4 linked regions of the Saccharomyces cerevisiae S288C genome follow. Changing the gene in region 2 together with the main gene of any one other region gives a genetic interaction. Each region holds a gene or a part of one and is shown on either strand. Other genes may lie near its edges.

Region 1 (7,634 bases), on a different chromosome or scaffold from region 2:
AGGATGCCAGTGCCATGCCTCGCCAGAGGAATAGGCATCCTCAAGGGCAAATATAGACTAGCGAACCTGATGAATGCCCAACCCTCAGTGAGACATGTGTCGAGCGAGATCCAGCAAAAGGATCAGCAGGCAGGAGAGTCAAACACCGCCACCGATACTGGTGTTATTCACAAATCAGATGAAGAAACTCTGATATATTTCGATAATGTTTACGCTAGAACCACCTCGGTTTGGAATCCAACACTGTGGTACAATCTCCTGCTAAGAAACCAGTCACGGGATGCAGTGAGGGAGAAAATAAGGAATTTAGCCAGTCCACCCAATAACCCCATTTATGGACTGGAGTTGAAGTCTACCATTCCAGTGAAAAGGGATGGTGGTGTATTTGCCACATTTGTCGTTCCACCCAAGTATACAAAAGCTCAGGTAAATTCTCTAATCCAACAGAATACAGCCAGAGAATCCTCTAAAAACTTACTCTCGTACTTCACTCGAGCTTCTGCCTTCCCAGTAAAGGGTTCGCCTTGGATTGAGGATTTAAGAAGACTACCAAGTACCACTATAGTCATCAAGTTCCAAGGGCCCGCCTTAACAGAAGAAGAAATATACTCTTTATTCAGAAGATATGGGACAATTATTGATATTTTCCCTCCCACTGCTGCTAACAACAATGTGGCAAAGGTAAGATACCGTTCATTCCGTGGTGCCATTTCTGCCAAGAATTGTGTTTCCGGTATCGAAATTCATAATACCGTCTTACACATACAATACGAAAATATCAGAAGAGGCCATCTAGTTAGTAATTTTTTCACCAACCATACAAGGATTGCTATTCCAGTTTTATTTGCGCTACTTTCAATCTTTGCTGTTTTAGTGTTTGATCCTATAAGAGAATTTTCGATTGAACAGAAGATCACTCACAAATATTCTTTATCGTGGGACAATAAGTTTTGGAAACAACTGAAAACGCTAACCTCATCTACCATGACTTCTATCAAGTACTACTGGGGCGGCCCTGATGATAATCACCAAAGAAAGCATTTATGGGAGGAAAGAATAGAGAAAGTGAATGACCTGAAAATGTGGCTTGAAGAAAATAATAATACTTTTGTGGTTATAAGGGGGCCTAGAGGTTCAGGGAAACATGATTTGGTCATGCAACACACTTTGCAAAATAGAGCAAATGTTTTGTATTTGGATTGTGATAAATTGATTAAGTCCAGAACAGATCCTATGTTTTTAAAAAATGCCGCTAGTCAATTGGGTTATTTCCCAATATTCCCATGGATTGACTCTGTCACAGGTGTCCTTGATTTAACAGTGCAAGGATTAACAGGGCAAAAAACTGGGTTGTCTGAGACGAAGGAATCTCGGTTTAGAAACATGTTAACTACCTCATTGATGTCCATTAGACGTATTGCTCTCAAGAATTACAAGGCTTTTGTTTCCACCGGTGATGGGACAGTTAATGTTAAGGAAGAAGATTACCTACAGCAACATCCGGAAGCTAAACCCGTTATCGTCATAGATAGGTTTGAGGGCAAGTCGGAAATAAATGGATTTGTGTATAAGGAACTATCCGATTGGGCAGCTATGCTAGTTCAAATGAATATTGCTCATGTGATTTTCTTAACGGAAACCGTTGCATCCAACCAAAGATTGAGCGAATCACTACCCAATCAAGTCTTCAAAAACCTAATCCTATCAGATGCCTCAAAAGAGAATTCGAGGAACTATGTATTATCCCAATTGGAGGATTACTTATATTACAATAAAAAATCCAAGGGTGAAAACGTAAAAGAACCTGAATCAGAAAAGGAAACTGCTGAAAATAATGATTCTGATAGTGAGGCCGATACGAGTGTCAAAAAAGCTGAGGTTATTTTAAATGAAAAGGAATTACAGGAAATTGACGCTTCTTTAGAGCCATTGGGTGGTAGGATGTTAGACTTACAGGCATTTGTAAGAAGGGTAAAGTCAGGAGAAGAGCCCTCGGAAGCAGTAGACAAAATGATTGAACAGGCTTCTGAGCAAATAACTCAAATGTTTTTAAGTGACAAGATTGACAGCAATAAAAGTGCACAAGCCTGGGAATTAATCGAATTATTGAGTGCGAACCCAGTCATTCCATTCCATGAAATCGTTAACAAGCCATTATTCAAAGCCGCACCAGAAACGGGAATCATGGAATTGGAGAATAATGGTTTAATAACTGTATCTAGAGATAGGGGTGTTTTACAGGAAATCAGGCCTGCCAAACCGCTATACAGGGCAGCATTCACATACTTGATCAACGATCCTGAACTCGCAAAAGTGCTAAAAACCCGTTACTTATTAAAGGTTGTGGGTTTTGAAACTGGTAGAATCAAGAAATGGGAAGAAGAATTAAAACCTTTGGGGAAAGTTCCTGATCAGAAACTTTTCAAGACCAGATTGGACTATTTATCCGGTAAAATCAATGCCAGTAATGCAGTCATTACCAAATGTGAAGAAGAAATTAAAAACCTATCTAAGTGATGAAACAAAACTTACTATTCTGCTTTTCTGTACATATGTGTAAACCCTATATTGCTATACTCATCTATATTCTTTTGAAAATGTATAAAAGTGACGATTGGAGATGGTGCAATTTTCTACGCAGCATGAAAAATATCTAAGGAAGGTAAGGTACATACCAAGTAAGTCTTATAATATGTTGTTGTACCTCACTTTACCATTCTTAAAGTCTTTAAAAGAAATTACCTTACCCAATTTGCACAGCAAAGGTCACTGACCTATACGTGCCCTTCATCAGATTACATCACGTGAAATTTCACTGGGAAAGAGCGCGAGGGCTTTCCGATGACTTTCTACATTAATAATCGCAAACAAAGCAATCAGCACAGCAAAGAGTACAATTTCGAAAATTGCGACAGAGCAACGTAAGTATATCGTTGTTGATAGATTCCACTCCAACCTGCAAATGCTGCTTCTTCCAAGATGTCCTGTAATTGGGCGAATTGTAAGATCAAAATTTAGATCTGGTCTAATCCGGAACCATTCGCCCGTTATATTTACTGTGTCTAAGTTATCAACCCAGCGGCCTCTGTTATTCAATTCAGCTGTGAATTTATGGAATCAAGCACAAAAGGATATTACGCACAAAAAATCCGTCGAGCAATTCTCGTCGGCTCCAAAAGTGAAGACTCAGGTAAAAAAGACCAGCAAGGCCCCAACCCTCTCGGAACTGAAAATCTTGAAAGATCTATTTCGCTATATTTGGCCCAAAGGCAACAATAAAGTGAGGATAAGGGTACTGATTGCCCTTGGACTGTTGATATCCGCCAAAATTTTAAATGTTCAAGTACCTTTTTTTTTCAAGCAAACTATTGATTCAATGAATATAGCATGGGATGATCCTACAGTCGCCCTTCCGGCAGCGATTGGATTAACCATTCTTTGCTATGGTGTTGCAAGGTTCGGCTCTGTTTTATTCGGCGAACTGAGGAACGCCGTATTTGCCAAAGTGGCACAGAATGCCATTAGAACTGTGTCGCTACAAACTTTCCAGCACCTTATGAAGTTAGATTTGGGATGGCACTTGAGTAGACAAACGGGTGGTCTGACGAGGGCCATGGATAGAGGTACAAAGGGTATATCTCAAGTGTTAACGGCCATGGTATTCCACATTATCCCTATAAGTTTTGAAATATCTGTCGTTTGTGGGATTTTGACGTATCAATTCGGTGCGTCATTTGCCGCAATAACATTCAGTACAATGCTTTTATACTCCATTTTCACTATAAAGACGACCGCATGGAGGACACATTTTAGAAGGGATGCTAACAAGGCCGATAACAAAGCTGCCAGTGTGGCTTTAGATTCTTTAATTAATTTTGAGGCGGTAAAATACTTCAACAATGAAAAATATCTTGCAGATAAGTATAATGGCTCCTTGATGAACTATCGTGACTCTCAAATTAAAGTATCGCAATCTCTAGCATTTTTGAACTCCGGCCAAAATCTAATTTTTACTACTGCCCTAACTGCAATGATGTATATGGGTTGCACCGGCGTTATTGGTGGCAACTTGACAGTTGGTGACTTGGTTCTAATTAATCAGTTGGTTTTTCAACTATCAGTACCGCTAAATTTTCTTGGTAGTGTTTACAGAGATTTAAAGCAGTCTCTGATTGATATGGAAACGCTATTTAAGTTAAGAAAAAATGAAGTCAAGATTAAAAATGCCGAACGTCCCTTAATGCTTCCAGAAAATGTTCCCTACGATATTACTTTTGAGAACGTCACGTTTGGATATCATCCCGATAGGAAAATTTTAAAGAATGCCAGCTTTACCATCCCAGCAGGCTGGAAAACCGCAATAGTTGGGTCTTCGGGCAGTGGGAAGTCCACCATTTTAAAATTAGTCTTTAGATTTTATGATCCTGAAAGCGGAAGGATCCTCATAAACGGTAGAGATATTAAAGAATATGACATCGATGCCTTGAGGAAGGTGATTGGTGTGGTACCACAGGACACACCACTTTTCAATGACACTATCTGGGAAAATGTAAAGTTCGGTCGTATTGACGCAACCGACGAGGAAGTGATAACTGTAGTTGAAAAAGCCCAGCTAGCACCCTTAATCAAGAAATTACCACAAGGTTTTGACACCATCGTCGGGGAGCGAGGGTTGATGATCAGCGGTGGTGAAAAGCAAAGGCTGGCAATTGCAAGGGTACTATTGAAGAATGCAAGGATCATGTTTTTTGACGAGGCCACAAGCGCCTTGGACACACACACAGAACAAGCTCTCTTACGAACCATTAGAGATAACTTTACTTCGGGTTCGAGAACGAGTGTATACATCGCACATAGACTGAGGACAATTGCAGATGCAGACAAGATCATAGTCCTTGACAACGGAAGAGTAAGAGAGGAAGGTAAGCATCTTGAACTGTTGGCTATGCCAGGGTCATTGTACCGCGAACTTTGGACCATACAAGAAGATCTGGATCATTTAGAGAATGAACTAAAAGACCAGCAAGAACTATGAACGCTCGTAAGTAAATATTGATTTATACATGTATAAGTTTTTCAAGATTTAAGGAAAAAAGAAAAGTTATTATCTTTCTCCGCGGTTTTTCAATGACCCGATGTATTGACTCTTCCTGACCGAAAATAACAGGACAGAGTTAGAACGAACATGAATAATAAAATATAATCTGGGATCATGAATCCGAATGACTGCTCATGCGGCAAATGTCAGAGCTTCGGTGTATTTAAAGTTTGCTTACTTACAATTTCAATAATAGGTTTGTACTTTTCAGATTCTTATTATTAAGTCAAGGTAAAGTCCTTCGTTTTTTTTTTTTTCATTTTAGAAAAATTTCAACAGCCACCGTACAATTTTATTCACTTTTAAGTCATAGTTGCGAAGACATCGTCTTGAAAGTAGTAGATTTCGTTCTAATAAGTTTAGCAAAGAAAGAGGTACAGCAAACAGCAGAATAGAAAAAATGTGTGGTATTTTAGGTATTGTATTAGCAAACCAAACCACTCCAGTAGCTCCGGAGTTATGTGATGGATGCATTTTTCTACAACATCGTGGACAAGATGCAGCTGGTATAGCTACCTGTGGTTCTCGTGGTAGAATCTACCAATGTAAAGGTAATGGTATGGCTCGTGACGTATTTACCCAACAACGTGTTTCCGGTCTTGCTGGTTCCATGGGTATTGCCCACTTGAGATATCCTACAGCCGGGTCTTCGGCTAATTCAGAAGCGCAACCATTTTACGTCAATAGTCCTTACGGTATTAACTTGGCACATAACGGTAACTTGGTGAATACTGCATCATTGAAGAGATATATGGATGAAGACGTTCATAGACATATTAACACGGACAGTGATTCGGAGTTACTATTGAATATTTTTGCTGCTGAACTGGAAAAACATAACAAGTACAGAGTTAACAATGAAGATGTTTTCCACGCGTTAGAAGGTGTTTACCGTTTATGCCGTGGCGGTTATGCTTGCGTTGGTTTACTTGCCGGTTTTGCATTATTTGGTTTCAGAGATCCAAATGGTATTAGGCCATTATTGTTCGGTGAAAGAGAAAATCCGGACGGCACTAAGGACTATATGTTAGCTTCAGAAAGTGTTGTTTTCAAAGCTCACAACTTTACTAAATATCGTGACTTAAAGCCTGGCGAGGCAGTTATCATCCCTAAGAACTGTAGCAAAGGTGAACCTGAGTTCAAACAAGTGGTTCCTATTAACTCTTATAGACCTGATTTATTTGAATACGTATATTTCGCCAGACCGGACAGTGTCTTGGATGGAATATCAGTTTATCACACAAGATTGGCTATGGGTTCTAAATTAGCGGAAAATATTCTAAAGCAACTGAAGCCAGAAGATATTGATGTTGTTATTCCCGTCCCAGATACTGCAAGAACATGTGCACTAGAATGTGCTAATGTGTTAGGGAAGCCTTATAGAGAGGGCTTTGTTAAAAACAGATACGTGGGCAGGACATTTATCATGCCAAACCAGAGGGAAAGGGTTTCTTCAGTAAGGAGGAAGCTTAACCCTATGGAGTCTGAATTTAAGGGTAAGAAGGTTCTGATAGTGGATGATTCTATTGTCAGAGGTACTACTTCAAAAGAGATTGTTAACATGGCCAAGGAATCCGGTGCAACAAAGGTTTACTTCGCTTCAGCTGCCCCAGCCATTCGTTACAACCATATTTATGGTATTGACTTAACAGACACAAAGAACTTGATTGCTTATAACAGAACCGATGAAGAAGTGGCGGAAGTAATCGGTTGTGAAAGAGTCATTTACCAATCATTGGAAGATTTGATTGATTGTTGTAAAACTGATAAAATAACCAAATTCGAAGATGGTGTATTTACCGGAAATTATGTCACTGGTGTTGAAGACGGTTATATTCAAGAATTGGAAGAAAAACGTGAATCGATCGCAAATAATTCATCAGATATGAAGGCTGAAGTCGATATCGGATTATATAATTGTGCAGATTATTGATAGATTGTTCCGAACTTGTTCAGTTGTATGTAAAATAGTTTCCAAATGCGCCCATTTATACATAATTATCTTTGTATTCTGACCTAAACTAAATATATATATATATATGCACGTATTAAAAAAAAAAATAAAAGCAAAAAGGTAAACAAAGAGAAGTAATCCGCAACTTGTACAAAAAGAAAAGAAGATAAAAGAATTGTATGTATTAATGGATAATTGTAATGCCTGGGACAAATTATTGTCTCAGAATGAATCCACAATCAACAGCACAGAGACTGCTACGATAACAGCAATCATATATTCCCCATCAAGTAAAACACTGCATCAATTTATAAATATCTGTTTTCCAGAGGGAAGCAATTCAATACTGGATACCACTTTGATTAATTACGCCACCATAGGATGGACCAACGACTTAAAGGAAAATTATTCTGTCGATGTTTACACGCTAATAAGAAACACTGACGATGCACTAGATCTTCTAAAGCCGTTTTTACAAGAACATAGTTCGAAGGTTCGCTGGCTCATATTATTAGATTGGACACTGAACGACCAAAAGTTGTGGCTGAATGAACTATCCTACGCATTCAATAAAATTAAGCA
Region 2 (7,879 bases):
CAACCCTAAGTTGTAAAGAACCTCCTAGCCATTCGAGGAATTTGTTAAATAAAACACCGTTGAGAAATTCTTCGGGTCAGTATCTCGCAAAATCTCCAAGCTCCTATAGACAGGGAATAATTGTTAACGATAGTCTGGAAGAGAGCGATCAAATTGATCCTCCAAATAACAGTTCACGAAATGCAAGTGAATTGTTGACCTCGGTATTGCATAGCCCAGTTTCTGTTAATATGAAAAATCCGAAGGGTTCAAATACGGATATTTTCAACACCGGTGAAATATCCCAAATGGATCCTTCGCTATCAAGGAAAGTATTGAATAATATTGTCGAAGAAACAAACGCACTTCAAAGGCCAGTTGTTGAAGTTGTCAAGGAAGACAGAAGTGTTCCTGACCTAGCAGGTGTTCAGCAAGAGCAAGCAGAGAAATATTCCTATTCAAACAATAGTGGAAAAGGCAGAAAAATTTCAAGATCATTGTCACGAAGGTCCAAAGATTTGATGATTAATCTAAAATCCAGAGCCACAGGCAAACAGGATAGTAACGTTAAACTTTCACCTGCTTCTAAAGTGACATCTAGACGCTCACAAGATTTAATGAGGGATAATGATTCACATACCGGCCTTGACACACCAAATTCTAACAGCACTTCTTTAGATATTTTGGTGAATAATCAAAAAAGCCTAAACTATAAAAGATTTACCGATAATGGCACTCTTAGGGTGACTAGTGGAAAGGAAACCGCCCTTGAAGAACAGAAGAATCACAGTTTTAAATCTCCGTCACCAATTGATCATTTGTTACAATCGCCAGCTACACCAAGTAATGTATCCATGTATCGAACTCCGCCTTTAGATAGCTCATTGACATTTGATAGGCGGAATGGGTCTTCATACAGTAACCAAAATTATAGCATACCTAGTTGGCAGAAAACTCCAAAGACCCAATTGGAGAATAGCGACAATTTTGAGGAACAGAAGGAAACACTTTACGAAAATAGCGAATCTAGAAACGATCCCTCGCTTGATAAAGAAATTGTCACGGCAGAGCACTATCTGAAGCAATTAAAAATAAATTTGAAAGAACTTGAATCTCAAAGGGAAGAATTAATGAAAGAGATCACTGAAATGAAGTCTATGAAAGAGGCTCTACGCCGACATATTGAATCCTATAATAGCGAGAAAAATAAACTATATCTTGACTCCAATGAATTATCAAATAATCCACCGATGATAAATGAAATCAGCTTAGGTGAGTCGCCACCCGTGAAACATGTTGCAACTGCAAGTTCTGTAGCGCGAAGTTCTGTTAAACCAAAATTTTGGAAGTTTTTTTCATCTGCAAAGCCACAGACCGAGCAATCTATACAAGGTGTCAGTACAAATAATACAAATTCCATCGTTAAAAGTGCCCCAGTTTTGCTTTCTGCTCCCTCATCTGGTAGTAATTCCGGCCGTTTAGAAATTTCACCACCTGTGCTACAAAATCCTAATGAATTTAGTGACGTTAGATTAGTACCTATCGAGAACGATGCAAATATGGGACAAAGTAAAGATGGAGAAGAATATTTGGATGGAAGCAATTTGTATGGTTCAAGTCTCGTTGCTAGGTGCAATTATGAAAACAATGAAATACCGATGATACTATCTGTCTGCATAGATTTTATTGAATCAGACGAAGAAAATATGAGATCGGAGGGCATTTATAGAAAATCAGGTTCCCAGCTAGTCATAGAAGAAATAGAAAAGCAATTTTCTGCATGGAAAGTACAACAAAATACCGAAACGCCAAATATTTTAACGGAACAAGATCTCAACGTTGTTACTGGTGTGTTGAAGCGATACTTAAGAAAGCTCCCCAACCCTATCTTTACCTTTCAAATATACGAGCCGTTGATGAGGTTAGTTAAATCTAAAAAAATGATGGAAAACTTGCCATTTGTTGGAGGAAAGTTGTCCTTAGAAGCAAAGAATTCGGACACTTATATGTCGAGCAAGAGCGCTTTAAAAAACATATTGGAAGACCTTCCAAGGGAACATTATAGGGTGTTAAGAGTACTGAGTGAACATATAGAAAAGGTTACACGGTACAGTCACTGGAATCGAATGACGCTTTATAATTTGGCTTTAGTTTTTGCTCCAGGTTTGATTCGTGATTTCAGTGGAGAAAAGGATATTATTGATATGAAAGAAAGAAACTATATTGTCGCATTTATATTTGGGAACTACAAAGATATCCTGACGTAGCGCTATCCTCGGTTCTGCATTGAGCCGCCTTATATGAACTGTATCGAAACGTTATTTTTTTAATCGCAGACTTAAGCAGGTAATTATTCCTTGCTTCTTGTTACTGGATATGTATGTATGTATAATAAGTGATCTTATGTATGAAATTCTTAAAAAAGGACACCTGTAAGCGTTGATTTCTATGTATGAAGTCCACATTTGATGTAATCATAACAAAGCCTAAAAAATAGGTATATCATTTTATAATTATTTGCTGTACAAGTATATCAATAAACTTATATATTACTTGTTTTCTAGATAAGCTTCGTAACCGACAGTTTCTAACTTTTGTGCTTTGACAAGAACTTCTTCTTCTTGCTTTAATAAAAACTGTTCCATTTTCGTTGTATAACTTGAATCATAAGCGCCAAGCAGTCTGACAGCCAACAGCGCAGCGTTCGTACTATTATTAATAGCGACGGTAGCTACTGGAACACCTCTAGGCATTTGCACAATTGAATGTAAAGAATCTACTCCATCTAGACAAGAACCTTTTACGGGCACACCGATGACAGGAAGTGGTGTCATTGCAGCCACCATACCTGGCAAGTGAGCAGCCCCACCAGCTCCAGCGATAATTGTTTTAATTCCACGCTTGCTTGCGGAAATAGCATATGCTGACATCCTATGTGGAGTTCTATGAGCAGAGACTATTGTCACTTCAAATGGAACGCCAAAATCTTTTAAAACCGCACATGCGGCAGACATTACCGGCAAGTCAGAGTCTGATCCCATGATGATTCCAACCAATGGTTTGACCATTGCTTCCAAGTCCAACTTTTGAGCGACAGAGATTTTGATTGGAATATCAGTTCTACCTGTAATGTAGTTCAGCCTTTGTTCACATTCCGCCATACTGGAGGCAATAATATTTATGTGACCTACTTTTCTGTTAGGTCTAGACTCTTTTCCATATAAGTACACTGAGGAACCTGGAGTCGCCAATGCTCTTTCGCAAGTTTCTAGCTCTTTATCTTTTGTATGTTTGTCTCCAAGAACATTTAGCATAATGGCGTTCGTTGTAATGGTGGAGAAAGATGTGAAATTCTTTGGCATTGGCAAATCCAATATTGATCTCAAATGAGCTTCAAATTGAGAAGTGACGCAAGCATCAATGGTATAATGTCCAGAGTTGTGAGGCCTTGGGGCAATTTCGTTAATAAGCAATTCCCCTGTTTCTAAATAGAACATTTCCACACCAAATATACCACAACCGGGAAAAGATTTGATTGCATTTTCTGCCAACAACTTCGCCTTAAGTTGAACGGAGTCCGGAACTCTAGCAGGCGCATAACATAAGTCACAAATATTGTCCTTGTGGATAGTCTCTACAATTGGGTAAGAAAACACTAAACCGTTAACAGATCTCACAATCATGACTGCTAATTCTTTAGTAAATGGTGCCCATTTTTCGGCGTACAAAGGACGATCCTTCAGTACTTCCAAAGCTTCCGGAATCATTTCCTTATTCTTTACAACGAAGTTACCTCTTCCATCGTATGCCAAAGTCCTCGACTTCAAGACGAATGGAAAACCCAAATCTCTTCCAACATTCAATAGGGACGTCTCACTGGCTTGTTCCACAGGAACACTTTGGGTAACTGCTATACCATTTTTGATTAAATGCTCTTTTTGAATATATTTGTCTTGTATCAATCTGATTGTTTCTGGAGAAGGGTAAATTTTTAATTTGGGATGTTTTACTTGAAGATTCTTTAGTGTAGGAACATCAACATGCTCAATCTCAATCGTTAGCACATCACATTTTTCAGCTAGTTTTTCGATATCAAGAGGATTGGAAAAGGAGCCATTAACGTGGTCATTGGAGTTGCTTATTTGTTTGGCAGGAGAATTTTCAGCATCTAGTATTACCGTCTTAATGTTGAGCCTGTTTGCTGCCTCAACAATCATACGTCCCAATTGTCCCCCTCCTAATATACCAACTGTTCTAGAATCCATACTTGATTGTTTTGTCCGATTTTCTTGTTTTTCTTGATTGTTATAGTAGGATGTACTTAGAAGAGAGATCCAACGATTTTACGCACCAATTTATACATGAAATGCTCCATAATATTGTCCATTTAGTTCTTAATAAAAGGTCAGCAAGAGTCAATCACTTAGTATTACCCGGTTCGTAGCCATGCAACAAGAGTCATTTGTCAGCATAGCTGTAATAATCAATCATGACGTAAGAAATGTATCATAATTAAAAGTTGTTAAAGATGTCAGTGTTATGTTGGTGTTACAAAATTCTCGGCTTCTCACTAATATTTAATATCTCTTAAATTTTATCTGTCTTTGATTCTTTTAAGAAAAGTTATGTATTATTCAAGAAAAAGTCAATTCCGCATCAAAAGGTAAAATTTATATAAACTGCTTTAAAATTTCATGAAACTAGGCAACTTTTCGAAATGATCTTTTTCGAGCATGAAGTTTCTTTTATAATAACCTGGTCAAAAGCTTTCAATATATAATACATTTGGTATTTACGGAAATGAGATGATATACTGGTAGTGCGCTAGTCAAGTTCTAATTAAATTAAAATGCAAAATAGTAATGTCAGATGGACACATTGGGCGAAATAGCTAACCCATAAGCATGAATCCTGTAACTTATGTAATACGTTAATCACGATACGGCGTTACTAGTCTTCCTTTTGAGTGGTTTCTAATGTAGATTCTTGTTGTTCGTTAATTTGCTTCAAGCCGTTTAGCATTCCTGATTCGTTTGAAGATAGAGGAACAGATGCGCCAGCGAAAGATGATGATGCAATGGTAGAGGAAGTGTTGGTCGAATCTCCCTTTTTGGAAATAAAGTGTCGTTTTGATTCTAGATAGGCTTCTCGCAATTGATTGTGGAGATACTTCTTTAAAAGGGCCATACCTATGGGATGACATTCTAACCTATAGAGTAATTTCGTAATAGCATAGCAGATTTTTGACGCCCTTCTTTCTAGTAGAGGAGAAGCCCTTAGCTTGGGTGAGATGACTGAGGATGCGTTTGTAAATTCGGGATAATTGGAATTTCCAGTACCCTGCCCATTACCTCCCAGAATCCTTATATTAGGGCGTGTACTCAGTTGTAAAAACTGTCTCAATGAAGAAGATTGAGCAATTCTGGTCAAATACGTTCTTCTCCTGGACAGAGATTTTGTGAAGGGCAAATCCTGCCCACTTTCTTTTGTAATAAATGTGAGGAAAAACGCCAAGATATCAAAACTGTAAATTTGAGTAAAAAGATCTATTGCTGATACTATAACACCGTGGGGATCTTTTTCGATGCCCATATAGCTGTTAAAATTATCGAAACCCTGACGCACTTCGCTTTCAAAACTCCACCTAGAAATATTATCACCGTGTAACTGAGCTGTGGGTAATATTTTGAACGGAGAATAGTTCAAACAAGCGTTTAAAAACTTCTCAATGTTTGTCCTGCTTACCGATACCATGCGAAACAGCTCTTTAACAATGTCCAATATTTGGCTTAATTGGGAATATATTTGCTCTGTGGAAAATAACTGGCATGTGTTTCCTAAGCTAAATAAACAATTATCCAAGTTAGACAATAGTTCAATACTATGCAGTGTAAAATAATCAAAGAACTCCGGGAAAATGAAAAAATCTTTATAAAACATGATATATTCATCTTTTAGTGCTATATTAGGTGGAATTTCTCGTCTTTTCAAAGCGTCCAGAAGGTTTTCCAACTGAAGAACATTCAGCCTTCTCAAAACGCTCATGATAGTATCACTATCATGATATTCGTCGATAAGAAGAGAAAAGAGCTTCTGGCCCAAGTTTACCTGACTTTCGTTGACTGCGTTGGTTGAGAAATGAGGCCTATTGAATATCTTTCTCAAAGGGTTAGGCCCAATCTTCACTTCTGCCACTGTATCTGGCTTTTCTTTTTCTGGACTATTATTTTCATAAAACACTCCCTCATCCACATCGTAGTAATAATCCCAGATATCTAACTGGTATCGGAAAATTGGATTGGCAGTTCCGATAATTGCAAAGCATCCGACAAAATCACTATTCGATGCTACATACGCCCGCAAACCGTCAACAAGAGAAATGTCCATATAGGGAAAAATCAACGCAGCATTTCCTTTGAAGTATGATTGTGGATCGCTAGCATAAGTTGCCGTTATGTTGGCTAATGACAAAATAAAAGCGCATAGGTCTTCTTTACTCAGTTTAGTTGAATTGATGACTAACTTCCATGCATTAACTTTTTGTCCGGCTTTAAGAAGGTAAGGGACAAATTTATCCAAAAATTTTAAAACTAGTTCATTATAATCATTTTCAATATAAATAGGCTCTCTTCTAATCATATTAAATTGCAATGGGATTTTTAACAAAAATGGCGGGAGCGTCTTTGGCTGAAATCTTGTAAAATGATATTGAATGAGTTGGTCATGAAAAGTCACAATGTTACCATACTTGTCCTTAGTGTCAAATCCATTGATGCAAAAGAGTTTCTTTAAAGTGGAATCCGGGTCTAAAAATACTTTGGTAATGATAGATTCGTCATGGATAGAGTGTAGCACTTCTTGTATACTACTTTTGGAATGTATGTCATTAATCAATGTAAGGTCAATACTGTTTAGCATATTAAAGCAATCAAGCAGTATGTCTGTAGCAGCAGCTTGAGTGGGAGCTTTCATATACAAGTCTAACACTAATACAATAATATTTTTGAATGCAAAGAAGGTTTTTAATGGTGTTCCGATGGCAATCGACTTGATTACTGCCCCTCTATCGTTCGTGGTGTCTAATACTGTGTTGGCGACATTTATGAAAAATAAAGGTTCGTTGTCGATGGCTTTCTGATTATTCTGAACTTCCTGGCATTCGAGCTCATCATCTTCCAAGACAATAGTGTATCTATTATTTTTTGCATCTTGATGATTTTCGGCATCGTAATATATGCTATTGGTAACACTACCATCTGACTGTTCACGATGATGCAGATTGAAACTGAAACGAGGGTCTTTTGGCACAGGAAAGAGTTGATAGTTTTGAGTAAACTTATTGTAATAAAGGGTAAACACTGTAATATCTTGTTTGCCGGGATTTCTCTCTATGCTACTCGGTATCATTAAACTTGCCAAGTTCATAGACACCGACGTATTGCCGTTGCGTTGCTCATGTGAGAACTGATTGAAACCTGGAATATCTTTCGGGTATTGGTGCTTCAAAATAGGACCTAATTTATTATCAAATTCTGCGGATATTATATAGCTGACATTCGGCCTTTCAAAAGGAAAGGATTCATTTTCTATCGACCTGTTGCTGATAGAGTTATTTAGTTCTCTTCGCAACATCCGGTAGCCAAAAATGTTTGCGTACCAAAGACTCTAACAGTGGGCGGTACTATGCTTGATCTTGATTTTATAGAGCTTGCACTTTTATAGAAGAACCATTGCTACCTAGACAGTTTTTTTTGTTTACATTCGAATCATTTTTTTTTTTGCATTTAGTTAAATCCGAAGTCCTGACTAGATAATTTACTGTCAGAGAATAGTAGCATCTATGCAAGAAACTGGTATACAATAGTCGAGAGGTTGTTGTAAAAAACACAAAATACTAACA
Region 3 (6,491 bases), on a different chromosome or scaffold from region 2:
TCTATGGTCAAGAAGTCGAAAAATAACTTCCCATGTGGAAAGCCTTGCGGTGTGAAGATAGGGCTGTCAATGGGGGTTACATCAGACAGATGAATTTCGTTGAATTCAGAAAGTTTCTGTACCGCATTATTAAACTCTTTTCGCGTCCAATGGCCAATTGGTATCACTAAGGTCCTAATCTTAGATGGGCCAACATAGCTTGGGAAATGCTTAAGAATATTCATGGTTTTTGTCTCCCTGTAACAGGTTGTGAGCCGCACCTTAAACCAGTTATACTAGAACCGTTTAAACTACAATCTGGCCTGATTTTAGTTTTGCAATAACACGATTAAGCGTTTACACATGCACATTCATATATAAGTATACGTATTTACACACATTTTATTCGAAACCTTTAAGATCGTTTTGTCACAATCCATGATCATGATTTACGACGCGAGATGTTTCGCGCCTCACTTTGAAGAATGCCAAATATAAAAGTATAAATATGGGAACTATTCTTATTTGTGAAGCTGCTGTAAAACCTTATATGTAGCTTCTACAATCGCGATGTGCTCAGCATCGTGTACCCTTTGCTCGTACTGCTCTAGTGTTTCTTCGCCAGGTATGATTTCTAGCTTTTTTACCACCAATGGCTCACCCTTGTCGACCTCCTCGATGACATAGTGCACCATGCATCCGGCCGTCAGAGGCTTGTTCTCGTCCTGACATTTGCGCCATGCCATTTCAATTGCGTGTGTGGTACCATCGAAACAACCTGGTAGCGCTGGATGCAGATTTAATATCGGCACAGATTGCAGTTGGCTCAAGAAAGTAGATCCAAGGATCAATAACCAGCCCGCGCAGATGATAACGTCAGGCTTTTCCTCGAGCACTAGTTTTGCGAGGTCGTTCTCAAACTGGGATCTTGCCTTGGCCCTTGCGGCTTTGTCCTCCTTCGCAATACCCTTTGTATATGGGTATAGCGAACAAACCTTTGTGGGGATATTATTGTCCGCTGCCCTAGTTAACCCGTATGCCTTCTTGCTGGAAGATATGACAGAGACAATATGAGCATCCTCGCCTAATTGGCCCTGCTTTTGGGCATCGATCAAGGCTTGCAAGTTGGAACCTGAGCCCGAAATTAATACGACAATTCTGGCCATAGCTTTTGGAAAGATTATTGATGTGTGTTGGCTCTCACCTGCGCTTGCTGCAAGTTAAATCATCAACCTTGAGGCTAGGAGCGTTATTCAACTTTAGAAGTGTCTTCTCTTCATAAACTACTCTATATAACTTTCCTCTTGCTGGAATAAAAAACAGGTCAGAGTCACTAGCAACGAGTCACTCATTCGAATCCTTGCTGACGCTTTTAGTCTTTATGCTGAAATCTATCTTCGAAGTCGGAAGGAAAATGCATTTTTAAACTATCACTAGAACTACCATTTTAGAGCGAGCAGAAGGTTCCTCTTTTCTTAAACAAGTATAATTTTCCTTTTTGGATTGTACTTTATATTCTTACACTAAACGGCCCCTAGATGTCACCTGAGCTGTAGTCAATGTATACACCCATTCACCGCACCAGATAGTAAGTTGAAAAGTGTATCATCTTTAATATGAATATGAAAGAATGAAGTGGAGTTCATCCATATTTCACAAGAAAAGAAGACTCCAACTCAAACAGTTGAGTGTTCCATATACATTCTGTTTCAATGATAAATTTAGAGGATTACTGGGAAGATGAAACGCCTGGGCCTGATAGGGAACCGACTAATGAACTAAGAAACGAGGTGGAGGAAACCATCACTCTGATGGAACTGCTGAAAGTGTCCGAATTGAAGGATATTTGCAGGTCTGTATCTTTCCCGGTTTCCGGTCGCAAGGCCGTTCTACAGGACCTTATCAGGAATTTCTTGCAGAACGCTTTAGTAGTAGGCAAGTCTGATCCTTATAGAGTTCAAGCCGTTAAATTTCTGATAGAACGGATCAGAAAGAATGAACCTTTGCCTGTTTATAAAGATCTTTGGAACGCTTTAAGAAAGGGTACCCCATTGAGTGCTATCACAGTACGTTCTATGGAGGGGCCTCCCACGGTGCAGCAGCAATCACCTTCCGTTATTAGGCAGTCTCCCACTCAACGGCGGAAAACGTCTACCACATCTTCCACATCTCGTGCACCACCACCTACAAATCCAGATGCCTCTTCTTCTTCATCATCTTTTGCTGTACCGACAATTCATTTTAAAGAGTCTCCATTTTACAAAATACAAAGGCTAATCCCTGAATTAGTGATGAACGTGGAAGTCACAGGCGGAAGAGGTATGTGCTCTGCGAAATTTAAATTGTCCAAAGCAGACTATAATCTATTAAGTAACCCGAATAGCAAACACAGGCTATACTTATTTTCTGGGATGATTAATCCATTAGGATCCCGAGGTAATGAACCCATCCAATTTCCATTCCCAAATGAATTAAGGTGCAATAATGTTCAAATCAAAGATAATATAAGAGGTTTCAAGAGTAAGCCGGGCACAGCTAAGCCGGCGGATTTAACGCCTCATCTCAAACCTTATACTCAACAAAACAATGTGGAGCTGATATATGCCTTCACCACGAAGGAATACAAGCTATTTGGGTACATTGTAGAAATGATCACTCCGGAGCAACTCCTGGAAAAAGTATTACAGCATCCAAAAATTATTAAACAAGCCACGTTACTTTACTTGAAAAAAACACTTCGGGAGGATGAAGAAATGGGCTTGACTACCACATCTACTATCATGAGTCTGCAATGTCCAATTTCGTACACAAGAATGAAATACCCTTCAAAATCAATAAATTGTAAGCATCTGCAATGTTTTGATGCATTATGGTTCCTACACTCCCAACTACAAATTCCTACGTGGCAATGCCCAGTATGTCAAATTGATATAGCTTTGGAAAATTTAGCAATTTCCGAATTTGTTGATGACATTTTACAGAACTGTCAAAAAAACGTTGAACAGGTAGAACTTACTTCTGATGGTAAGTGGACAGCCATATTGGAAGACGATGATGACAGCGACAGTGACAGCAATGATGGTAGTAGAAGCCCAGAAAAAGGTACTTCAGTATCGGATCATCATTGTTCTTCTTCACATCCAAGTGAACCGATTATCATAAATCTCGATAGTGATGATGACGAACCAAATGGAAATAATCCTCATGTTACTAATAATCATGATGATAGCAACAGGCATAGTAATGATAACAATAATAATAGTATCAAAAATAATGATAGTCATAATAAAAATAATAATAATAATAATAATAACAATAATAATAATAATGATAATAATAATAGTATCGAAAATAATGATAGTAATAGTAATAATAAACATGATCATGGTAGTCGCAGTAATACTCCCAGTCATAATCATACTAAAAATTTAATGAACGATAATGATGACGATGATGATGATCGACTTATGGCGGAAATAACTAGCAATCACCTTAAAAGTACTAATACAGATATTCTAACTGAAAAAGGTTCAAGTGCACCCTCGAGAACCCTGGATCCAAAAAGTTATAACATAGTTGCTTCAGAAACTACTACTCCGGTGACAAACAGGGTTATTCCTGAGTACCTCGGAAACAGTTCCAGTTATATTGGTAAACAATTGCCGAACATTCTGGGAAAAACGCCTTTAAATGTGACTGCTGTTGATAATTCATCCCACTTAATCTCTCCAGATGTTAGCGTATCATCCCCAACGCCAAGAAACACCGCTTCAAATGCAAGTTCGAGCGCTCTCAGTACCCCTCCCTTAATAAGAATGAGTTCATTAGATCCCAGGGGATCCACTGTTCCCGATAAAACAATAAGGCCTCCCATAAATTCCAACAGTTATACTGCATCGATATCAGATTCATTTGTCCAGCCTCAAGAATCTTCAGTTTTTCCACCACGTGAACAGAATATGGATATGTCCTTTCCTTCCACCGTGAACTCAAGATTTAATGATCCACGTTTGAATACCACAAGATTCCCTGATTCAACATTGCGTGGGGCAACTATTTTGTCGAATAATGGGCTTGATCAAAGGAATAACTCTCTACCAACAACAGAAGCAATCACGAGGAATGACGTCGGGCGACAAAATTCTACGCCTGTACTTCCCACGTTGCCCCAGAACGTCCCAATTCGTACAAACTCTAACAAGTCTGGGCTTCCTTTGATAAACAATGAAAACAGTGTCCCCAATCCTCCCAACACTGCAACCATACCGTTGCAGAAGTCCAGACTCATTGTAAATCCATTCATTCCAAGGAGGCCTTACTCTAATGTACTGCCCCAAAAAAGACAACTTTCTAATACATCCTCAACTTCACCCATAATGGGTACATGGAAAACGCAAGATTATGGAAAGAAATACAACAGTGGTTAAAAACGAGGCTAAAATTGGACGGTTCCGTCCAGCTCTTTCATGAAATATTTTCTTTGTAATTGTGCATATGACCTTCATTTTCTATAATTTTCCGTTCGAAAAAGAAATATTTTCTTCTTTTCAATACTCAAAGGCAATATCACTGTTTGCATTCCCCTAGCATTTATTACCTACCAAATACAGATGCACAAGATTAGATAAAATCTTACATAACACAAAAATCCAGTCCATAACTAACACAATCATTACTATTATATAAAAGGTATTCCGACACCAACCTTATTCTTGTATTCTATGTATTCCGCGCTAAAGAACTCTATCAAATATTTTTCTTCCACACGAATTCTATCACTGAAAAATTTCCAAAGTACAAAAATGAAAATAACCAATGATAGGGGATTTAGAAGCAGTAGCTGAGTGCCAATTGCCCACCAAAAGAACCCAAGATAACTTGGATGTCTTGACCAGGAGTAAACGCCAGTTTTCACTAAAACATGATCGGACTCCTTCTTGGTCTTCACAATATGAGAAAAGGAATGTCCCGCAGTATGCATAGCAATAGTTCTGGTATATTGTCCCAGAATAACTAGAAGACATCCAAGTACTGTACAAAGCTTGGTAGCTAGAGAGTAGCTAAAAATTTTCAGATCAGGAAAAAGAAAGCTTTCTACGAGGCATTCCAGAATAGCAAAGGAATGTGCCGCCATGTAACTTTTGCCGTTGTTCAGAAGAAAGGACTCTGAATGTACCTTAAGAGGATTGTATTTAGCTGTAATATAATACTCCAAAAAATGGAATAAGGACAGGGCAATAATAAAGAGGTTAAAATTCTTGAATCTAATTTGTGGAAAAAGACCAACAAATATACCTAAAAGAATCCCCAGTATGTAGGAAGTCATGGTCACCTCATGCAGCGGATTGCGTCTGATGTCTGGATACTCATGCTCGTCTTCTTGAAAATCTTGGTGCATGTTGTGTTCAAAAACGGTGACCACAATGAAAGAGGAGGTAAAAAGAGTAATTATCTTGAAATCGATTTTCACTTTCTTATATAATTCATCAACACGAGAACCTTTCTATATACTGGTGGTATCATGTAAAGAATTGTTTTACCATAGTGGCCCATTTGTCAATTCGTCTTGAGTGATGTTTCATTATCAATCGGTTGCTATGCCAACGAAAATACTATGTCAGACTCTCTTGATGTATATAATGAATGGCAAAGTACATAGAAATAGATAAAAGTTGTTATTGTGAGTCGGAGGGGCTGTTTGTTTGTCCTACTCGTTGGCCGCGGCCTTGAAATTGGTTCAAATTCGATGGGCCACTTCTTAATTGACTTCCAGAAGCTCTGCCTGAATCTGTGCCACTGGTTTGAGACAATGTTGCAGGGGCCGTACCCAATCGTTGACCTCTTCCACTAAAAGTTCTCGTTTCTCTTTGCGAAGATGGCACATTGGCAAAGTTGTTGTTGAATGTTGCAGTTTCATTGTGGGCACCCGTTATGCGAGCATATAGACTAGTAAACCACCATGGCGTTGAGAATTTCCCATTGGGCGAGATTCCGTAGGTTGGATCAGCTTTTCTGGATATCATCCCCCATATTGGCCCCAGTGTATGGGTATCTAAGCATGTATAAAGGTACCCTGTAGTAAAACCGATCAATGAGATTACGAAATCACCCTCATTAAAAACGAAAGAGATAAACAATTGAATTAAGGGGAAGTACTTCCCCCAAACAGGAATCAAACCATAAAACATGATCTGCACGTTGGCATTGTCGATCGACCAAGTATATGTAATGCATGATATGAACCCAGAGGTGAGCACAACAGGGTAGTAGGACCCATAAATGATTGTAGTGGCCGTAGTGATGGCTAGTATACAAAAGCACAGGTAGTAGGCATAGTCTACTGTTACCATCGGTCCTCGTCTATTGGACAAACCGGGACCAAAATGCCCTCGCTCCAACTGTGAGGACCTGTCATAAATACTATATAGTTCCATTAGCGCAGGCATGGCACGAGACGAAAGCATTACACAAGAAGTAAGAAGTCTCCATATCTGAACCTTCTTGAACGTCAA
Region 4 (10,695 bases), on a different chromosome or scaffold from region 2:
TGACCAAAGCTTTTTTTAACAAACTACCGTTTGAGGTATTCCGTCGGTACGTTAGGACAGGTAAAAGCATCCCTCAAAGAAGCCCCAGGACAAGAAAATCTCTTCTGGTGGGTGGGACTATTGCATCAGCAGTAGTTTTGTACAACTTTAATGACACTTTTCATGATTCTGTAAAGCACACGGCACTGACGACTAAAAGAATCGCTGTCGTCACACAAGCTACCACTCGTTGCTTCTACCATTACAAGAGGGCTCTAAATAAAAGCTATGAGAACAAAAAAGAACGAGAAGTTGCCTTAAATAAATGTCATAAGATGTGTGCCTTAATCACGTTGCATGCGCTACGATCGAATGGTGGGATATATATCAAATTAGGCCAGCACATTGGGGCCATGACCTACCTGTTGCCTAAAGAATGGACGGATACAATGATACCGTTGCAAGACCACTGTCCCGAATCCACCTACGAAGAAATTGATGAGTTATTTAAAGAAGATCTAGGCACCAGCATTGAGGATATGTTTTTAGAATTCAACAAAACCCCGATAGGTGTAGCTTCCTTGGCACAGGTTCATGTGGCAAAACTAAAAAATAGTGACGGTAAAGGTTCTAGTGTAGCTGTCAAATGTCAGCATCCATCGTTGAAGGAGTTTATACCATTAGATGTTATGCTGACAAGAACAGTGTTTGAACTGCTGGATGTCTTCTTCCCTGATTATCCGTTAACGTGGCTTGGTGATGAGCTTCAGTCTTCAATCTACGTGGAACTGAATTTTACCAAAGAAGCTGAAAATGCAGAAAAAACCCGTCATTATTTTAGTAAGTTCAAGAAGCAAACAGCATTGAAAATACCCAAGGTCATTGAAAGCCACAAAAGAATTTTGATTATGGAATATGTTGGAGGCAAAAGGTTGGATGATTTGGAGTACATTGACAGTCACGGTATCTCGCGCAGTGAAGTTTCGAGTTGTCTCTCTCATATTTTCAATAACATGATTTTTACTCCCAATGTAGGTATTCATTGTGATCCTCATGGAGGAAATCTGGCCATACGATCTGTTAAGCCCGCTAAAGATAATGGATACCATAACTTTGAAATTGTTTTATTTGACCACGGACTCTATAGATATCCTAGCACGAGAACAAGAAGACTTTATGCCAAATTTTGGTTGTCGCTCCTATTCGACAAGGACCAGACAAAAATGAAGAAGTATGCCAAAGGATTCGCAAACATCACCGACGAACAGTTTCCCCTTTTAGCGGCTGCAATTACGGGCCGTAGCATTGATGCTGCTTTGAATTACGACATTTCAACGAGTCGAACACAAGAAGAAATGGACGTCATGGCAAATGGGATCTTGGAAGGAACGTTACTGAGCGACTTGATGAGCATTTTGTCTAGAATCCCTCGTGTAGTGCTTTTGATATTGAAGACTAACGACCTAACCAGACATCTTGATGAATGTCTACAGAATCCACTCGGGCCAGAGAGGACTTTCCTGATCATGACGCAATACTGCGCCAAGACGGTCTACGACGAAAAAGTGGAAAGAATTAATTCGGAGTATGCGAGGTGGTCTATTAAATGGATGTGGGAGAACTTGACAAACTGGATAGTCTATGAGAGGCGTATTAATCAATTGTATTTTTATGATTTTGTGTTGTGGTGGAAAAAATTTATTCCGAAGACTTGGTTGTCATCTTAAATCGTTAGCGTTCTTTCTACTTGTAAATATATACGTAAAATTATATATAACAATTTTATATGTGTCATTAAACGGAAGACGTTGTTGCTATCACAGTGGATTGTGTTATTTGGGTATTTGGAATATTACAGTGACTTCTTGCAGCGTTGTTAGTTTTTGCCATGTTCTGCAAGTACAAGGTTGAAGATGTGGTCGAGACTTTGATAGTATCCTTAAACAACTTCATTTTTTTATTTTGACTGGGTAACGACCTGGTGTTCCTTCTAGTCTCACCGCTAGTGGCTTCTTCTTTGCTGACTCTTAACTTTTGCAGCGCCTCTTTGGTGTCGAGTAACTCGTGTTCCAGTAGAACGTTGCGTTCCAGTCGTCGGTCACTCTCCAATTGTAATGTCTCTATCTTATTCCTCAGTTGGATATTTTCATTTTCCAACTCATCTACCTGTATCTCTAAATCTGTTATCTGTTTCTTATTGCACTTATTTTGTTGTTGGCTCTCAAGAAGATCGCTTTTTAACTTTGATATTACTTGTTCCAAATCATTTTCATATTCTTTCGTGGCGCCTTCAAGCTCGCTCAACTGGGTCTCCAGTGAGGAGATTATCTGTATAGCTGTTTCCAAATCCAAATTCGGCACCATAGGAAAGTCGCAATTGTTGCACGTATATGTCCCTTGGATATTCCAATTAAATTTGCGAGGATTGTTCTTTCGGCCGTTCGTGGTTTGTTGTAGCCCTTATTATCCCTCTTTTTCATCCTTAATTGCAAATTTATGTATGAAAACTTTCATTTCTAATGTTATTAATTTTCCCGATTCTGCAAACTAATTGATAAAATAATTGATACTTGCCGTCACAGATGATATAGAGAACGTTCAGTTTTTTTATTGTTCTATTGTAAAAAAAAAAAAAAAAGGAAGAAAAAAGCAAGATCCGATAGGAGAAGACCTCTTTAGCGGCTTTACTGCGCTACAAATAAGGTTACGAATATGCGGAATAGTTCATGATACGTTGTTGAGTTATAGTATGTAGCCAATATTTCCTGTTTTTCCGCTGTTACCCTTTTCGAAGGATCGATGAACGCTTCTGTCACTTAGTAAGCAAATGTACGAAACCCAGAGCATTGTATGTACACCAGCAGTCGTTTTTTGTAGCTCTTTTCCATGGATGGACGATGATGGCAAGACGCGATCGTGGCGGAGCCTCACTAAGAAAAACAATTGTGGAGAATCTATACACACAGAAATCGTACTTCAAGAAATATTGATTAGCGAGCCTTTAAGCACAGAACAATCTCTATAGCCAACATCTTGTGGAAGCTACAACTGTTTTTCTTGTTCCCGCTTGAGTAGGGCCTTACAAGGCAAGACCGTATAAAATAAAGATAACTCCTCCGCCGTATCCTGAATTTCGTGTGCCCTTTCTCTCTCTCTCTCTTCCTCTTTCTTCCTTTCCCTTTCCCTCTTCTTCTTATCTCAACAACCGCCCAGCGCATTAGCAAACCACAGTACGAGCTGTACGGCTGAGCCACTGCACCTGTCTGGCTTGCCCCTTTTTGTTGAGTAACCGGGTAATAATTCGGCTGTCTAAACGATACAATCCTCGTTCCACCCACACCCATTCACCCGTCGGGCGAAATCCACCCTCGCGGCCTCGTTTAGAATACCAGGCAACGGCACCAGCAACGGCCCCGGTAACTCGATCGCGTTCATATATATCGGATATACTCTTGAGGCACAATTTTTTTCGGTTTTCGGTTTTTTCTATTATTCTTCGAGATGCAAAGCACACATTTGAGACTCACAACTCAAGATACCGCAAGCACACAGACGCTATTGTTCTCCCAAAGAATAGGTTCCTGCAGTGCTCTTTTAAGGTTTGAAGATATTGCACAAAATTGTATCTGATTTCATCTCATCGAACCTCATTCCATCAACTTCCTTTTATCAAAGCATCTTGTTTTGTTTTCGCAGAAAATTTTTCTTCCCTTTCAATTTGGCCTTTTAGTTTTTCTCCAGTCGCAGGCAAGAAGGTAAGGAAATAGAAGAAAAAGAAAAAAAAAAAAAGGGAACAATAGGTTAGATGTCGAATACCCCTTATAATTCATCTGTGCCTTCCATTGCATCCATGACCCAGTCTTCGGTCTCAAGAAGTCCTAACATGCATACAGCAACTACGCCCGGTGCCAACACCAGCTCTAACTCTCCACCCTTGCACATGTCTTCAGATTCGTCCAAGATCAAGAGGAAGCGTAACAGAATTCCGCTCAGTTGCACCATTTGTCGGAAAAGGAAAGTCAAATGTGACAAACTCAGACCACACTGCCAGCAGTGCACTAAAACTGGGGTAGCCCATCTCTGCCACTACATGGAACAGACCTGGGCAGAAGAGGCAGAGAAAGAATTGCTGAAGGACAACGAATTAAAGAAGCTTAGGGAGCGCGTAAAATCTTTAGAAAAGACTCTTTCTAAGGTGCACTCTTCTCCTTCGTCTAACTCCTTGAAAAGTTACAACACTCCCGAGAGCAGCAACCTGTTTATGGGTAGCGATGAACACACCACCCTTGTTAATGCAAATACAGGCTCTGCTTCCTCTGCCTCGCATATGCATCAGCAACAACAGCAACAGCAGCAACAGGAACAACAACAAGACTTTTCCAGAAGTGCGAACGCCAACGCGAATTCCTCGTCCCTTTCTATCTCAAATAAATATGACAACGATGAGCTGGACTTAACTAAGGACTTTGATCTTTTGCATATCAAAAGTAACGGAACCATCCACTTAGGTGCCACCCACTGGTTGTCTATCATGAAAGGTGACCCGTACCTAAAACTTTTGTGGGGTCATATCTTCGCTATGAGGGAAAAGTTAAATGAATGGTACTACCAAAAAAATTCGTACTCTAAGCTGAAGTCAAGCAAATGTCCCATCAATCACGCGCAAGCGCCGCCTTCTGCCGCTGCCGCCGCTACCAGAAAATGTCCTGTTGATCACTCCGCGTTTTCGTCTGGCATGGTGGCCCCAAAGGAGGAGACTCCTCTTCCTAGGAAATGTCCAGTTGACCACACCATGTTCTCTTCGGGAATGATTCCTCCCAGAGAGGACACTTCGTCCCAGAAGAGGTGTCCCGTTGACCACACCATGTATTCCGCAGGAATGATGCCGCCCAAGGACGAGACACCTTCCCCATTTTCCACTAAAGCTATGATAGACCATAACAAGCATACAATGAATCCGCCTCAGTCAAAATGTCCTGTGGACCATAGAAACTATATGAAGGATTATCCCTCTGACATGGCAAATTCTTCTTCGAACCCGGCAAGTCGTTGCCCCATTGACCATTCAAGCATGAAAAATACAGCGGCCTTACCAGCTTCAACGCACAATACCATCCCACACCACCAACCACAGTCCGGATCTCATGCTCGTTCGCATCCCGCACAAAGCAGGAAACATGATTCCTACATGACAGAATCTGAAGTCCTCGCAACACTTTGTGAGATGTTGCCACCAAAGCGCGTCATCGCATTATTCATCGAGAAATTCTTCAAACATTTATACCCTGCCATTCCAATCTTAGATGAACAGAATTTCAAAAATCACGTGAATCAAATGCTTTCGTTGTCTTCGATGAATCCCACAGTTAACAACTTTGGTATGAGCATGCCATCTTCATCTACACTAGAGAACCAACCCATAACACAAATCAATCTTCCAAAACTTTCCGATTCTTGTAACTTAGGTATTCTGATAATAATCTTGAGATTGACATGGCTATCCATACCTTCTAATTCCTGCGAAGTCGACCTGGGAGAAGAAAGTGGCTCATTTTTAGTGCCCAACGAATCTAGCAATATGTCTGCATCTGCATTGACCTCGATGGCTAAAGAAGAATCACTTCTGCTAAAGCATGAGACACCGGTCGAGGCACTGGAGCTATGTCAAAAATACTTGATTAAATTCGATGAACTTTCTAGTATTTCCAATAACAACGTTAATTTAACCACGGTGCAGTTTGCCATTTTTTACAACTTCTATATGAAAAGTGCCTCTAATGATTTGACTACCTTGACAAATACCAACAACACTGGCATGGCCAATCCTGGTCACGATTCCGAGTCTCACCAGATCCTATTGTCCAATATTACTCAAATGGCCTTTAGTTGTGGGTTACACAGAGACCCTGATAATTTTCCTCAATTAAACGCTACCATTCCAGCAACCAGCCAGGACGTGTCTAACAACGGGAGCAAAAAGGCAAACCCTAGCACCAATCCAACTTTGAATAACAACATGTCTGCTGCCACTACCAACAGCAGTAGCAGATCTGGCAGTGCTGATTCAAGAAGTGGTTCTAACCCTGTGAACAAGAAGGAAAATCAGGTTAGTATCGAAAGATTTAAACACACTTGGAGGAAAATTTGGTATTACATTGTTAGCATGGATGTTAACCAATCTCTTTCCCTGGGGAGCCCTCGACTACTAAGAAATCTGAGGGATTTCAGCGATACAAAGCTACCAAGTGCGTCAAGGATTGATTATGTTCGCGATATCAAAGAGTTAATCATTGTGAAGAATTTTACTCTTTTTTTCCAAATTGATTTGTGTATTATTGCTGTATTAAATCACATTTTGAATGTTTCTTTAGCAAGAAGCGTGAGAAAATTTGAACTGGATTCATTGATTAATTTATTGAAAAATCTGACCTATGGTACTGAGAATGTCAATGATGTAGTGAGCTCCTTGATCAACAAAGGGTTATTACCAACTTCGGAAGGTGGTTCTGTAGATTCAAATAATGATGAAATTTACGGTCTACCGAAACTACCCGATATTCTAAACCATGGTCAACATAACCAAAACTTGTATGCTGATGGAAGAAATACTTCTAGTAGTGATATAGATAAGAAATTGGACCTTCCTCACGAATCTACAACGAGAGCTCTATTCTTTTCCAAGCATATGACAATTAGAATGTTGCTGTACTTATTGAACTACATTTTGTTTACTCATTATGAACCAATGGGCAGTGAAGATCCTGGTACTAATATCCTAGCTAAGGAGTACGCTCAAGAGGCATTAAATTTTGCCATGGATGGCTACAGAAACTGCATGATTTTCTTCAACAATATCAGAAACACCAATTCACTATTCGATTACATGAATGTTATCTTGTCTTACCCTTGTTTGGACATTGGACATCGTTCTTTACAATTTATCGTTTGTTTGATCCTGAGAGCTAAATGTGGCCCATTGACTGGTATGCGTGAATCATCGATCATTACTAATGGTACATCAAGTGGATTTAATAGTTCGGTAGAAGATGAGGACGTCAAAGTTAAACAAGAATCTTCTGATGAATTGAAAAAAGACGATTTCATGAAAGATGTAAATTTGGATTCAGGCGATTCATTAGCAGAGATTCTAATGTCAAGAATGCTGCTATTTCAAAAACTAACAAAACAACTATCAAAGAAGTACAACTACGCTATTCGTATGAACAAATCCACTGGATTCTTTGTCTCTTTACTAGATACACCTTCAAAGAAATCAGACTCGAAATCGGGTGGTAGTTCATTCATGTTGGGTAATTGGAAACATCCAAAGGTTTCAAACATGAGCGGATTTCTTGCTGGTGACAAAGACCAATTACAGAAATGCCCCGTGTACCAAGATGCGCTGGGGTTTGTTAGTCCAACCGGTGCTAATGAAGGTTCTGCTCCGATGCAAGGCATGTCCTTACAGGGCTCTACTGCTAGGATGGGAGGGACCCAGTTGCCACCAATTAGATCATACAAACCTATCACGTACACAAGTAGTAATCTACGTCGTATGAATGAAACGGGTGAGGCAGAAGCTAAGAGAAGAAGATTTAATGATGGCTATATTGATAATAATAGTAACAACGATATACCTAGAGGAATCAGCCCAAAACCTTCAAATGGGCTATCATCGGTGCAGCCACTATTATCGTCATTTTCCATGAACCAGCTAAACGGGGGTACCATTCCAACGGTTCCATCGTTAACCAACATTACTTCACAAATGGGAGCTTTACCATCTTTAGATAGGATCACCACTAATCAAATAAATTTGCCAGACCCATCTAGAGATGAAGCATTTGACAACTCCATCAAGCAAATGACGCCTATGACAAGTGCATTCATGAATGCTAATACTACAATTCCAAGTTCAACTTTAAACGGGAATATGAACATGAATGGAGCTGGAACTGCGAATACAGATACAAGTGCCAACGGCAGTGCTTTATCGACACTGACAAGCCCACAAGGCTCAGACTTAGCATCCAATTCTGCTACACAGTATAAACCTGACTTAGAAGACTTTTTGATGCAAAATTCTAACTTTAATGGGCTAATGATAAATCCTTCCAGTCTGGTAGAAGTTGTTGGTGGATACAACGATCCTAATAACCTTGGAAGAAATGACGCGGTTGATTTTCTACCCGTTGATAATGTTGAAATTGATGGTGTTGGAATAAAAATCAACTATCATCTACTAACTAGTATTTACGTTACTAGTATATTATCATATACGGTGTTAGAAGATGACGCAAATGATGAGAAATAGTCATCTAAATTAGTGGAAGCTGAAACGCAAGGATTGATAATGTAATAGGATCAATGAATATTAACATATAAAACGATGATAATAATATTTATAGAATTGTGTAGAATTGCAGATTCCCTTTTATGGATTCCTAAATCCTCGAGGAGAACTTCTAGTATATTCTGTATACCTAATATTATAGCCTTTATCAACAATGGAATCCCAACAATTATCTCAACACCCACACATTTCTCATGGTAGCGCCTGTGCTTCGGTTACTTCTAAGGAAGTCCACACAAATCAAGATCCGTTAGACGTTTCAGCTTCCAAAACAGAAGAATGTGAGAAGGCTTCCACTAAGGCTAACTCTCAACAGACAACAACACCTGCTTCATCAGCTGTTCCAGAGAACCCCCATCATGCCTCTCCTCAACCTGCTTCAGTACCACCTCCACAGAATGGGCCGTACCCACAGCAGTGCATGATGACCCAAAACCAAGCCAATCCATCTGGTTGGTCATTTTACGGACACCCATCTATGATTCCGTATACACCTTATCAAATGTCGCCTATGTACTTTCCACCTGGGCCACAATCACAGTTTCCGCAGTATCCATCATCAGTTGGAACGCCTCTGAGCACTCCATCACCTGAGTCAGGTAATACATTTACTGATTCATCCTCAGCGGACTCTGATATGACATCCACTAAAAAATATGTCAGACCACCACCAATGTTAACCTCACCTAATGACTTTCCAAATTGGGTTAAAACATACATCAAATTTTTACAAAACTCGAATCTCGGTGGTATTATTCCGACAGTAAACGGAAAACCCGTACGTCAGATCACTGATGATGAACTCACCTTCTTGTATAACACTTTTCAAATATTTGCTCCCTCTCAATTCCTACCTACCTGGGTCAAAGACATCCTATCCGTTGATTATACGGATATCATGAAAATTCTTTCCAAAAGTATTGAAAAAATGCAATCTGATACCCAAGAGGCAAACGACATTGTGACCCTGGCAAATTTGCAATATAATGGCAGTACACCTGCAGATGCATTTGAAACAAAAGTCACAAACATTATCGACAGACTGAACAATAATGGCATTCATATCAATAACAAGGTCGCATGCCAATTAATTATGAGAGGTCTATCTGGCGAATATAAATTTTTACGCTACACACGTCATCGACATCTAAATATGACAGTCGCTGAACTGTTCTTAGATATCCATGCTATTTATGAAGAACAACAGGGATCGAGAAACAGCAAACCTAATTACAGGAGAAATCTGAGTGATGAGAAGAATGATTCTCGCAGCTATACGAATACAACCAAACCCAAAGTTATAGCTCGGAATCCTCAAAAAACAAATAATTCGAAATCGAAAACAGCCAGGGCTCACAATGTATCCACATCTAATAACTCTCCCAGCACGGACAACGATTCCATCAGTAAATCAACTACTGAACCGATTCAATTGAACAATAAGCACGACCTTCACCTTAGGCCAGGAACTTACTGAATCTACGGTAAATCACACTAATCATTCTGATGATGAACTCCCTGGACACCTCCTTCTCGATTCAGGAGCATCACGAACCCTTATAAGATCTGCTCACCACATACACTCAGCATCATCTAATCCTGACATAAACGTAGTTGATGCTCAAAAAAGAAATATACCAATTAACGCTATTGGTGACCTACAATTTCACTTCCAGGACAACACCAAAACATCAATAAAGGTATTGCACACTCCTAACATAGCCTATGACTTACTCAGTTTGAATGAATTGGCTGCAGTAGATATCACAGCATGCTTTACCAAAAACGTCTTAGAACGGTCTGACGGCACTGTACTTGCACCTATCGTAAAATATGGAGACTTTTACTGGGTATCTAAAAAGTACTTGCTTCCATCAAATATCTCCGTACCCACCATCAATAATGTCCATACAAGTGAAAGTACACGCAAATATCCTTATCCTTTCATTCATCGAATGCTTGCGCATGCCAATGCACAGACAATTCGATACTCACTTAAAAATAACACCATCACGTATTTTAACGAATCAGATGTCGACTGGTCTAGTGCTATTGACTATCAATGTCCTGATTGTTTAATCGGCAAAAGCACCAAACACAGACATATCAAAGGTTCACGACTAAAATACCAAAATTCATACGAACCCTTTCAATACCTACATACTGACATATTTGGTCCAGTTCACAACCTACCAAATAGTGCACCATCCTATTTCATCTCATTTACTGATGAGACAACAAAATTCCGTTGGGTTTATCCATTACACGACCGTCGCGAGGACTCTATCCTCGATGTTTTTACTACGATACTAGCTTTTATTAAAAACCAGTTTCAGGCCAGTGTCTTAGTTATACAAATGGAC

What was found.
Region 1: of ADE2 (region 2) and ADE4, changing one suppresses a phenotype caused by changing the other (phenotypic suppression), as found in Saccharomyces cerevisiae (2 studies listed by BioGRID).
Region 3: of ADE2 (region 2) and ADE8, changing one suppresses a phenotype caused by changing the other (phenotypic suppression), as found in Saccharomyces cerevisiae (one study listed by BioGRID).
Region 4: of ADE2 (region 2) and HAP1, changing one enhances a phenotype caused by changing the other (phenotypic enhancement), as found in Saccharomyces cerevisiae (one study listed by BioGRID).

Annotation. Positions count from the first base shown.
Region 1 is NC_001145.3:864,956-872,589, reverse strand, and holds ADE4 (amidophosphoribosyltransferase), read left to right. Parts: upstream 1-5,498; coding exon 5,499-7,031; downstream 7,032-7,634. Other genes in the region: YME2 (Yme2p), read left to right, coding at 1-2,517; ATP-binding cassette Fe/S cluster precursor transporter ATM1, read left to right, coding at 2,963-5,035; DYN3 (dynein light intermediate chain), read left to right, coding at 7,240-7,634.
Region 2 is NC_001147.6:561,948-569,826, forward strand, and holds ADE2 (phosphoribosylaminoimidazole carboxylase ADE2), read right to left. Parts: upstream 4,245-7,879; coding exon 2,529-4,244; downstream 1-2,528. Other genes in the region: GTPase-activating protein RGA1, read left to right, coding at 1-2,246; AFI1 (Afi1p), read right to left, coding at 4,930-7,611.
Region 3 is NC_001136.10:1,287,715-1,294,205, forward strand, and holds ADE8 (phosphoribosylglycinamide formyltransferase), read right to left. Parts: upstream 1,146-6,491; coding exon 501-1,145; downstream 1-500. Other genes in the region: TRAPPII-specific subunit TRS120, read right to left, coding at 1-224; SUMO ligase SIZ1, read left to right, coding at 1,692-4,406; STE14 (protein-S-isoprenylcysteine carboxyl O-methyltransferase), read right to left, coding at 4,658-5,377; DFM1 (Dfm1p), read right to left, coding at 5,655-6,491.
Region 4 is NC_001144.5:642,631-653,325, forward strand, and holds HAP1 (Hap1p), read left to right. Parts: upstream 1-3,784; coding exon 3,785-8,293; downstream 8,294-10,695. Other genes in the region: CQD2 (Cqd2p), read left to right, coding at 1-1,706; NDL1 (Ndl1p), read right to left, coding at 1,774-2,343; YLR255C (uncharacterized protein), read right to left, coding at 2,970-3,323; YLR256W-A (gag protein), read left to right, coding at 8,487-9,809. UniProt on the Saccharomyces cerevisiae protein: Regulation of oxygen dependent gene expression. It modulates the expression of Iso-1 (CYP1) and Iso-2 (CYP3) cytochrome c.